Arabidopsis thaliana: one gene and its partner. The protein of the gene in region 2 interacts with the protein of the main gene of each other region in a pairwise test. Each region holds a gene or a part of one and is shown on either strand. Other genes may lie near its edges. The genes, in order: DSS1(V) and AT1G75990.

Evidence for each region.
Region 1: the proteins of AT1G75990 (region 2) and DSS1(V) interact in a two-hybrid assay, tested with the Arabidopsis thaliana proteins (one study listed by BioGRID).

What each region holds. Positions count from the first base shown.
Region 1 is NC_003076.8:18,166,327-18,170,236, forward strand, and holds DSS1(V) (DSS1 homolog on chromosome V), read right to left. Parts: upstream 2,058-3,910; 5' UTR 1,896-2,057; coding exon 1,805-1,895; intron 1,256-1,804; coding exon 1,125-1,255; 3' UTR 680-1,124; downstream 1-679. Other genes in the region: AT5G45000 (Disease resistance protein (TIR-NBS-LRR class) family), read left to right, coding at 1-420, 511-679; AT5G45020 (Glutathione S-transferase family protein), read left to right, coding at 2,880-3,092, 3,173-3,349, 3,429-3,653, 3,720-3,848. UniProt on the Arabidopsis thaliana protein: Subunit of the 26S proteasome which plays a role in ubiquitin-dependent proteolysis. Also associates with the TREX-2 complex that is required for transcription-coupled mRNA export.
Region 2 is NC_003070.9:28,523,844-28,529,015, forward strand, and holds AT1G75990 (PAM domain (PCI/PINT associated module) protein), read right to left. Parts: upstream 3,006-5,172; 5' UTR 2,876-3,005; coding exon 2,797-2,875; intron 2,702-2,796; coding exon 2,511-2,701; intron 2,399-2,510; coding exon 2,261-2,398; intron 2,174-2,260; coding exon 2,037-2,173; intron 1,947-2,036; coding exon 1,781-1,946; intron 1,614-1,780; coding exon 1,374-1,613; intron 1,293-1,373; coding exon 780-1,292; 3' UTR 561-779; downstream 1-560. Other genes in the region: AT1G75980 (Single hybrid motif superfamily protein), read right to left, coding at 1-2, 83-131, 219-459; AT1G76010 (Alba DNA/RNA-binding protein), read right to left, coding at 4,662-4,771, 4,865-5,172. UniProt on the Arabidopsis thaliana protein: Acts as a regulatory subunit of the 26 proteasome which is involved in the ATP-dependent degradation of ubiquitinated proteins.

The DNA of each region.
Region 1 (3,910 bases), on a different chromosome or scaffold from region 2:
CGAGCTTGGCGACAACTTTATTAAACATCTCGTGTGGGCTTTGAGAGACTCAGGGATCAATGTCTTCAAAGACAGCTTCAAGCTTATAGGAAGTGGACAAAAACAAGAAGTGTTCATGAGTATAGAGAACTCGAATATCGCGCTTGCCATCTTCTCAAAGAGGTATTCTGAGTCATATCGGTGTTTGAACGAGCTTGTGAAGATGGAAGAGCTTGCCAAGGAAGGAAAACTCGTGGTCATTCCAGTCTTCTACAGTGTGAAAACAAACGAAGTGAGAAGACTTGAGGGAGAGTTTGGAATACATTTTAGAAACACAAAAGAGAGATTTGCTATGGAACCAATGATGGTTGAAAGTTGGGAAAAATCCTTGAAGTCATCTACTGTTACAGGGAGGATTGGCTTGAGCTTGGAAGCACACATGTAATAGAATATTTAATAGAACTCTTGTTTTGTAGTAAGATCGACTTTGTGGTAAGGTCGTCTAATCAGTTTCTTTCACTCATTTTGCAGGAACGAATTTGCTCTTGTCGGTGCCATTGTTAAAGAGGTTACAAGATTACTACCAAACTCTCCAAAGAAGAAGAAGAAGAAGAAAATTAGGTATTGGAGAAGTTTTCTTGAGGGCTTTGACTGCTACATTTATCTTTGCTGTCTTCATATACCCTATGCCTATGCCTGATGTGAACTTTTTGAAAATTGGTAAGTTGTTATTAGGCTTTCCGTTTTTGGTTGTTGTCTTGCACAAGATTTTATGTTAATATTAGAAACAAAATGATGTTTTCTCGCTTCTGGCTTGTGGACGCTAACACTATATGTAATGTTGTGACGCACATCAGCTATGTCTATTTGAATGTTATCTCTACGGTTATTTTGTGATGTACATAGTAAACCAATCCATGTCCACACCGCACTGTGTTGAGAGAAGATGGTGATTATCAGAATAGAATTACTATCAGCTCAAATTTATCATCTTCAAAGACGAGAAATTTGCATCCAAGGAAGAGTATAATGTGTAAAGGAAAAGGAGAACCGATACATGCTACGATAAACCAAAGGATGCAATTCAAACAAAAAAGCCAAGGTTCCCTAAATGAGAAGACCTGCCTTTCTCGCAATCTTGGACCTCATTTCTTCTCACTAGCATTCTCAAGCTCCTTCTTTAACTGACGCGAGAAGTCGTCACTGACATCATCATCATCCCAGTCATCTTCCCACTGCAGGCTAACTTCCTTCACTTCCTCTTTCTCCAACCAATCTGCCAAACATAACAATAAAAATATCCATCTTTATCAATTCTTTCAATAAAGCTATTTGTTAAATCTCAAGACTGAACTAACATTGCAAAGCAAAATCTGTTAAAATCAGAAACTGATCCTAGCTTAAGTTGAATTGTACAACTCTCCCCCAAGCTACTCAATGCCCCCAAATAATTCCTAAATCCACCATAACCTTTAGGCCCTTTAGCTCATGAAGCCTTGCCGATTAATAATGCAAACATAATCACCAGTAGTTTGCTCATAAAACTGCACTATTATCCATCAAGTTTATGAGACCGTAGCTTCATCATCATAAACATATATCAAACAGATCCGTTTTCGCATCAGAACTACCCAACTTCATACAATAGAGACTATCTTAGTTTGTATAAGACAGTGCAGAATCAAAATTTGTATTTATACCAAAACCTAATCAATCACCAAATCAGTTGCTAATGAAATTTGCTCTTATCTCCATTAATTTTATAACCGATGATGAATCAATTTCGAAAATCAAAGAAGCAATTAGTATAAAACAAAAAAATCACCTTCGTTGATTTCAAATTCCTCGAACTCATCGTCGTCCTCGAATAGATCCACCTTCACCACTTCGACAGCTGCCTTGGGTTCTGCCGCCATAGTTACAGATGTTTAAGCAAATCAACCAGATCGAGAAAAAAACCTAAGAAGAAGATCACCAAACTCGATTAATTCCTCCAAGTTAAACCCAACCAGAGCTCTTTAAACGAACCTTTTTTTCGTTTTGGGTCTAACTTGAAGAAGGGGAAAATTACCAATTTCCAATAACCGACCCGAATCTTATATGATTCATACCGAATCCGACCCGAATCTTATATGATTCATACCGAATCCGACCCAATATTAAAAATATCCGATTGAGGTTTAAAAGAAGCTGTTTTAGACCGGTCCAATAGTCGCATTCGTCTTGACCAAATCCATGACATACAAACCGGTCCAAAAGTTGTCACGCTTTCCCCACAGAACCCAGCTGAGTCAACTCGTTAGTCTGAGTTAACTCGCTAGGCGTGACAGAGCAGTGAAGACAAAGCAAAGTCCTTTTTCGGATTCCTTCTCTTTCACTATAAGATGACATCCCTCATTACCATTTTTCCTTAAAGCTCACTTTTTCTTCTTTAACCTTATCGCCACAAAACAGCGACATTCGACGCCAAATACATAACATCGTCGTCAACAGGTTTTGTCTCTTATCTTCTTCTCTGCATGAATCATGTTCTTGTTAGACATTTTCTGAGTTCTGGGTTTGATTTTGGCCCAATGATCCATAAATGTTGAAAATCATATTTGAAGGCTATGAATTATGAACATTTTATTTTAACCTTTTTCTAGCTCTAATGAGATAATTAAGTAAAACCCTACTCGAAATTTCTGAACTTTTTGATGCTTTGATTCGTTTCCTGTGATCCTTTACCTAGAGAAAATTGAGATTGATTATGTGACAAGTGACCATCTATAAGAAATCTCTCAAAGTTTTCAACTTTACTCACTCTATTGAGGTGAAAAAGAAAAATTGTGCATTCTGAAATTTTTATTCTTTTCGTTTGTCATGTGAATTTTCGTGTTTGATTTTTTATTAGTAGCAAAATGGCTAGGTCTGGGGTTGATGAGACATCAGAATCTGGAGCTTTTGTAAGAACAGCATCAACATTCCGCAACTTTGTTTCACAAGATCCTGATTCTCAGTTTCCAGCTGAATCAGGAAGATACCATCTTTACATATCTTATGCTTGTCCATGGGCTTGTAGATGTCTTTCTTACTTAAAGATCAAAGGACTTGATGAAGCAATCACCTTCTCGGTTAGTACAAATTCATTGCTCATATCGAATTAGAAGACTTTGTTAACCTGAAGCATTTCTGTTTTATTTGATTTGATTAGTCGGTTCATGCCATTTGGGGAAGAACCAAGGAAACTGATGATCATAGAGGATGGGTTTTCCCGGATTCGGATACCGAGCTCCCTGGAGCTGAGCCTGACTATCTTAATGGTGCCAAAAGTGTGAGAGAACTCTACGAGATTGCTAGCCCAAACTATGAAGGGAAGTACACTGTTCCTGTAAGTTTTGATCTCTTTGGTGAACTCTTTAATCTTTCTTTGTCCTGTTTCTTGAATGTTTGTTTTGTTATTATGTTAGGTTCTTTGGGATAAGAAGCTTAAGACTGTTGTTAACAATGAGAGTTCAGAGATAATCCGGATGTTCAACACTGAGTTCAATGGTATTGCGAAAACCCCGTCACTTGACCTTTATCCTTCTCATCTCAGAGACGTAATCAACGAGACTAACGGATGGGTTTTCAACGGAATAAACAACGGTGTTTATAAATGTGGGTTTGCAAGGAAACAAGAACCCTATAATGAGGTATATATCCCTCAATGTCTTAAACATTTGAACAGGGATTCAAAAATTGATCCCTTTTCTCTCCAGGCAGTGAACCAGTTATATGAAGCAGTAGATAGATGTGAGGAAGTACTCGGAAAACAACGATACATCTGCGGAAACACTTTCACTGAAGCAGATATCCGATTATTCGTCACTCTCATAAGATTTGATGAGGTATATGAGTCAACTTGTCTTCTTTGTTTCCAAATAGAAAATCCATCAGGTTCTTGACATCA
Region 2 (5,172 bases):
AACTATCAAACAAACAAACACACAAGTAAGAAGAAAACCAATTTCATCATTTCAACAGCAAAAGGAACAATCTTTGACATACCCATTAGCGTGACGGTAAATATATTGATCATGACCCGATTTAGTAAAATCTGCAAAAACATTGAAAAGGGTTTAATTCACTTCACACTATCAAAAGGGGTTTTGAAAAACACTAAACAGTAGGTGAATCTGAGAACCTGTGATGAAGTAAGAAACAAAATTGACTTGTGTAGCTGAAGGAGGAGAAATCGGAAGTTCTCCAATATCTGAAAGCAGAAGCTTTCTCAATTCGTCTTCCTCTTCATCTTCTTGTGTAGCTAGCTGCTGCTTCTGTTGGTCGTCGCAATCTTCTACTTCGTCGTTTCTCTTTGGGTTAGTTAATTCGATTGTATCCTCAATTTCTGGAAACTTCGCTACATCAAGCTTCAGAATCTCCATTGTTTCGACTGTTTAACCTTTGACGGCGAAAAAACAATCGGAGTTACTTCGCCGATTTGTAATTACATAACTAATGGGCCTAAAGGCCCATCTACTGATCTTGGGTTTGAATCATGTTCATGTTCTTCTATATTACTAACTTCACTTCTTCAGTGAATTTATTTACCAGAATTTTGATCCCAATGTGGACTTGTGATAAAGTTTGAGATTTTGTTTTTTCATAAAGTAAAAGAACTGATGTGCATAATAACAAGAAAAAGTCAGATAATTCAAAATAACAAAAGTGTTAACAGACAAAAACAGTAGAATTTGAAACAAATCTAGAAATCATCATCGTCTTCCTCAGCCATGTATTTAGCGAGCTCCTCTTCTTGCTGTTTCATCTCCCTTCTTTTCTCCTCGCTCTCTTTCTCCCTGTGCGTGTTTGGCGGGAACCTCAGTGCTCTAACCGCTTCATTGTGCATATTCAAACAGAAGGCAATCCTCGAGTTAAACGCAGTCTGTGGTTCATTAGTGGAGTAGATGTCTCCTGTTTCCTTGGAGACCATACAACCGTTCTTGTGGTCGATGGTTGCGTCGATTGCTCCATCTCTAATGGCTTTAGCGACGATGCTTTCTGCATCAGCCACTGGGTTCGCTGAGTTCAGTCTCAGCTTTTGAGCAACATCCTGTAGAGAGATTCTGGAGTAGGAAATGCTGATGTTGCGCAGTCCTGTTCTGATCACGTTGTGTCGGAGTCTGACTATGAGGTTGTGAGTCCTGTCTTCCGCAAATGTTTTGGCAAACTTCTCTTGGATTTTCCCGAACAGCTCCAAGTCACCAATTCTCACAGCCTTACAAAATTTAAACAAGAGTATTAGCAAGAAAACCTTAATTAAAGCATATGTTAGAAATGTAAAAAAGATTGAACTCACGTTGGTCAGCTCAAAATATGGCCTAAGAGTCTTCTCCATTCCTTTCTGAGTGAAGATAGATCGTTCAGGTATTTCACCCAACAACAGCCGAACTATGATAGCCCACTTGTTGCACTGGATTCTGAATCCCAGAGATGCAACAGGTGCTTTCCTAGCAGCTTGGAGGAGACTCTCTTTTGCATCGGTGTACTCAAGTTGAATCGTCCTGATCTTGCCAAGGTAAAACAAGTACCTACAAAACTGTAAATTTATATAACGAGATGAGTATCGTTTCTAGTTGAAACATGTGAATGTAGTTTGGAGAAATTCACAGTGAAAAGTTGGCATTAGTAAGCATCAGAGAGGTTGGCATAAGTAAGCATCACAATTAACTTAGAATTAGAAACTAGAATGTATGAAAGGGTTACCTGTTGGTTAGAGTGTGCCTCAAATCGAGGCGCTTTTGATCTCAACTTCTCTGCTTGGTCGTACAGGTTGTAGTGTAGATAATTGCGAAGCAACAGATTCAAAAGTGTTTCCTGGCCCAATTCGTCGTGGCGCAGTGTGGCCGAATGGTGAAGAGCAAGAAGAGTACTGCAACAGAAAGAGAGACAAGTTAATAAGATAATTGAGTGTTGAACTAATATGATAAAAGTTGAAAGATGACTGTGAACTTGTACTCACCTACGTATCTCTGCAAGATCATTAGTTAGCTCGTAACTTAAGGAGTAGTAAAAATACAATTTGGAAGCAATGACATCAACGGTTCTCCTGTTTACGCTTTTGAGGCGAGCAATGCTAGCGGTAGAACAAACTTTGGCCTGAAAGCAAAGAAAGTAAAACAATGAAGACCACAGCAAGATTTATAAATAAAGTATGTCAGTTAGAGAGATAGAGAAGAAGTAAACCTCGTTGTACTTTTTCTGATCAATGAGAAAAAGAAGAACAATGAAGTAGCAGTAAATCTCGAGCTCTGCAGGTAGATGCTTAGGAGGAGCTTGGGAATTCGATGATGCTGTATCAACTTCCATGTCATGTTCATCACTCTGTACCAATATTATAAATTCCATCAAATTAAGGGCAAACACTAATACATGAATCTAATTACAGATCCTAGATAAGCTCGTAATCAAAGTGGACAAGTGAAGCTACACATACCTTCGGCACAAAAGAAGAGAGACGAGTGTGAGCTTCAGATCCAGGAACCAAAGCGAAATCAAGGAAAGAAGAGATCACGGAACCCGTGAGCTTCCTTCGTAGTCCAACGGTGAGACGCACAGCACGAGCAATACGACGGACTTCCTTTGTATAAGATCCAGTATCAATCAGAGCTGCAATCTCCTTCAAATCTGGAGAAAAAAAAAAGCAGTACAACGAATTCAATTTTGAAACAAACCTAGCAATGTGAGATTAAGAGAAACTGAAGCATAAGATAGAGATTTACTCTGTAGCGTGGAGGTAGGAGCAGAGACGACGGATTGCGTTGGGGTTTGGTTATCTTTCATCTCTACGTCCTGAGTCATCTTTTTCGCAAATCTCAAGTCGTCTTCTTCTTGACGAAGGTAAATTAAAAATTGATTTGAAAAGAGCAGGGCTTAACGCACACATAAGTACTCTTATGTTTTCCTTTTTCTTTTCCTAGACAGAAATTACCAAATTATATTTGGGAAAAATGTTGTTTTATACGCGAACTTTCAAAAAGTAGCTATTCTATACGTGAACTCTGACGTCGGCCAAAATAAACATGAAAAATACGTTGACCAGCCATTTTAACAGAAACAAAATGTTGACCTCGCCAAAATCCCGAGACGTTAACTCGCTGATTAACCCCGTTAAGAGAACGTTAATGAATTCTGTTAAGACCAAAACGCCGTCGTTTCAAACCTAACGAAACAAATCAAAATGCCCAAATCGAAAACTCAATCCCTAATTCTCTCAAACCAAATCCCTAATTCTCTCATTGGTAAAATCGTGTTTGTTCTTCGATTAATCTTGTTGTGATTGCCTTAGCAATAGAAGGCGAAGTCGACATTGCTCCTGTTCCACCACGACGAGTAGCTGAAACCGGAGATGGAGTTTGATGGTGGAGTTCTAGCTTTGCCGGCTGTTGTTGTAGCAGAGTCTTCTGTCGGAGTTGAAGCTCAAAGAAGATAGATTGAGAGAAGTTGGATATAAGAAATCGATTTGGGGAAGATGAAGACTTAGGGTTTGAGTTTTCGATTTGGGGATTTTGTTTTGTTTCGTTTAGAACAAAACGACACCGTTTCGGCTTTAACAGAGTTTATTAACGTGCTGTTAACGGGGTTAATTGGGTCTGTTAATGCGAGTTAACGTCTCGGGATTTTGGCCAGGTCAACGTTTTGTTTCTGTTAAAATGGCTGGTCAACGTATTTTTCATATTTATTTTGGCCGACGTCAGAGTTCACGTATAAAATGGCCACTTTTTGAAAGTTCGTATATAAAACAACATTTTTCCCAATTATATTTTTCCATTTTATTTTTTTCTTTCCCTTGAAGGCAGATATTATCTTGTTTGTTAATACTATTAATGTCATTAATTAGAACATCAAAGTCGTTGTAGTATAGTGGTAAGTATTCCCGCCTGTCACGCGGGTGACCCGGGTTCGATCCCCGGCAACGGCGCTAACATTTTTTTATCGAGTAAATCTATTGTTAATACGGTGTCGACGAGTCTATGAGCTTCCTTTCCTTTGTTGTGTCTGTCTCATTAGAATTTTGAAGATCAACCCAAATTCGAGAATCGATGGTTTCTGGCTTTCTACTTCCATTTTTTTTCTCTCTCTGTGTAAATCTGCTTCCATTTGTGAGTTATTTTCGTTATAATGTTATATAAGAATTCAACTTTGCAAGGGTACTTGTTGGAAATAAAAGAATCAACTGTTCCATCACATTAAAACTGATAACCAAAGAAAAGAGGTAATTTGTCCAAACTGTGTCTCACTCTCACCTAAACAAAACTACAAAACAGAGGAAAAAAGAAAAGAAAAGAGGATGCCTCAGTAGTTCTTCTCTAACAAAAACCCAAGACGACGACCAACCATAAAATAAATTGAACATATATTCCTAAGCGACTCTAAACAAAACAGACCACAAGCTAAAACACTGTCAATCAATGGATAGTAAAAAAAAAAGAAGGGGAATGAGATACACTTATGGCAAACATGTCTTCTTGATGGACAGAAGAAGCAAACATAGAAAGAAAGTGAGAGAACAAGGAGATAGAAAAAAAACATCCAACGACTTGGGCTTTTTTCTTCTTTTTATGTTTGTGTAAGAGAAACCTCACTCTCAAGCAGCTGCCTGGACTGGTGGTCCATCTGATCTGTTGTTGAAACCACCATCACCACCACGTCCTCCTCCTCTTCCACGTCCTCCCCTTCCACGTCCACGTCCACGCCCTGCATCAAACCAATTCAAAACTCATGGCTTCTTCACACAATTACAGTTCAAGAACCAGGTAAAAGAATACAGAATGTTTTAATTTATTTTACCACGACCCTGAGGACCATCATAACCACCACGGCCCTGAGAAGGACCATCATAACCACCACGGCCCTGAGAAGGACCATCATAACCACCACGGCCTTGAGAAGGACCATCATAACCACCACGGCCCTGAGGAGGACCATCATAACCACGGCGACCCTGAGGACCATCGTAACCACCGCGACCCTGAGGACCATCGTAACCACCACGGCCCTGAGGAGGGGCATCATAACCACCACGGTCATCATATCCACGGTGTTCATGAGGAGCATCGTAACCGTAACCTCCATCTTGTGGTGCATCATACTCATTC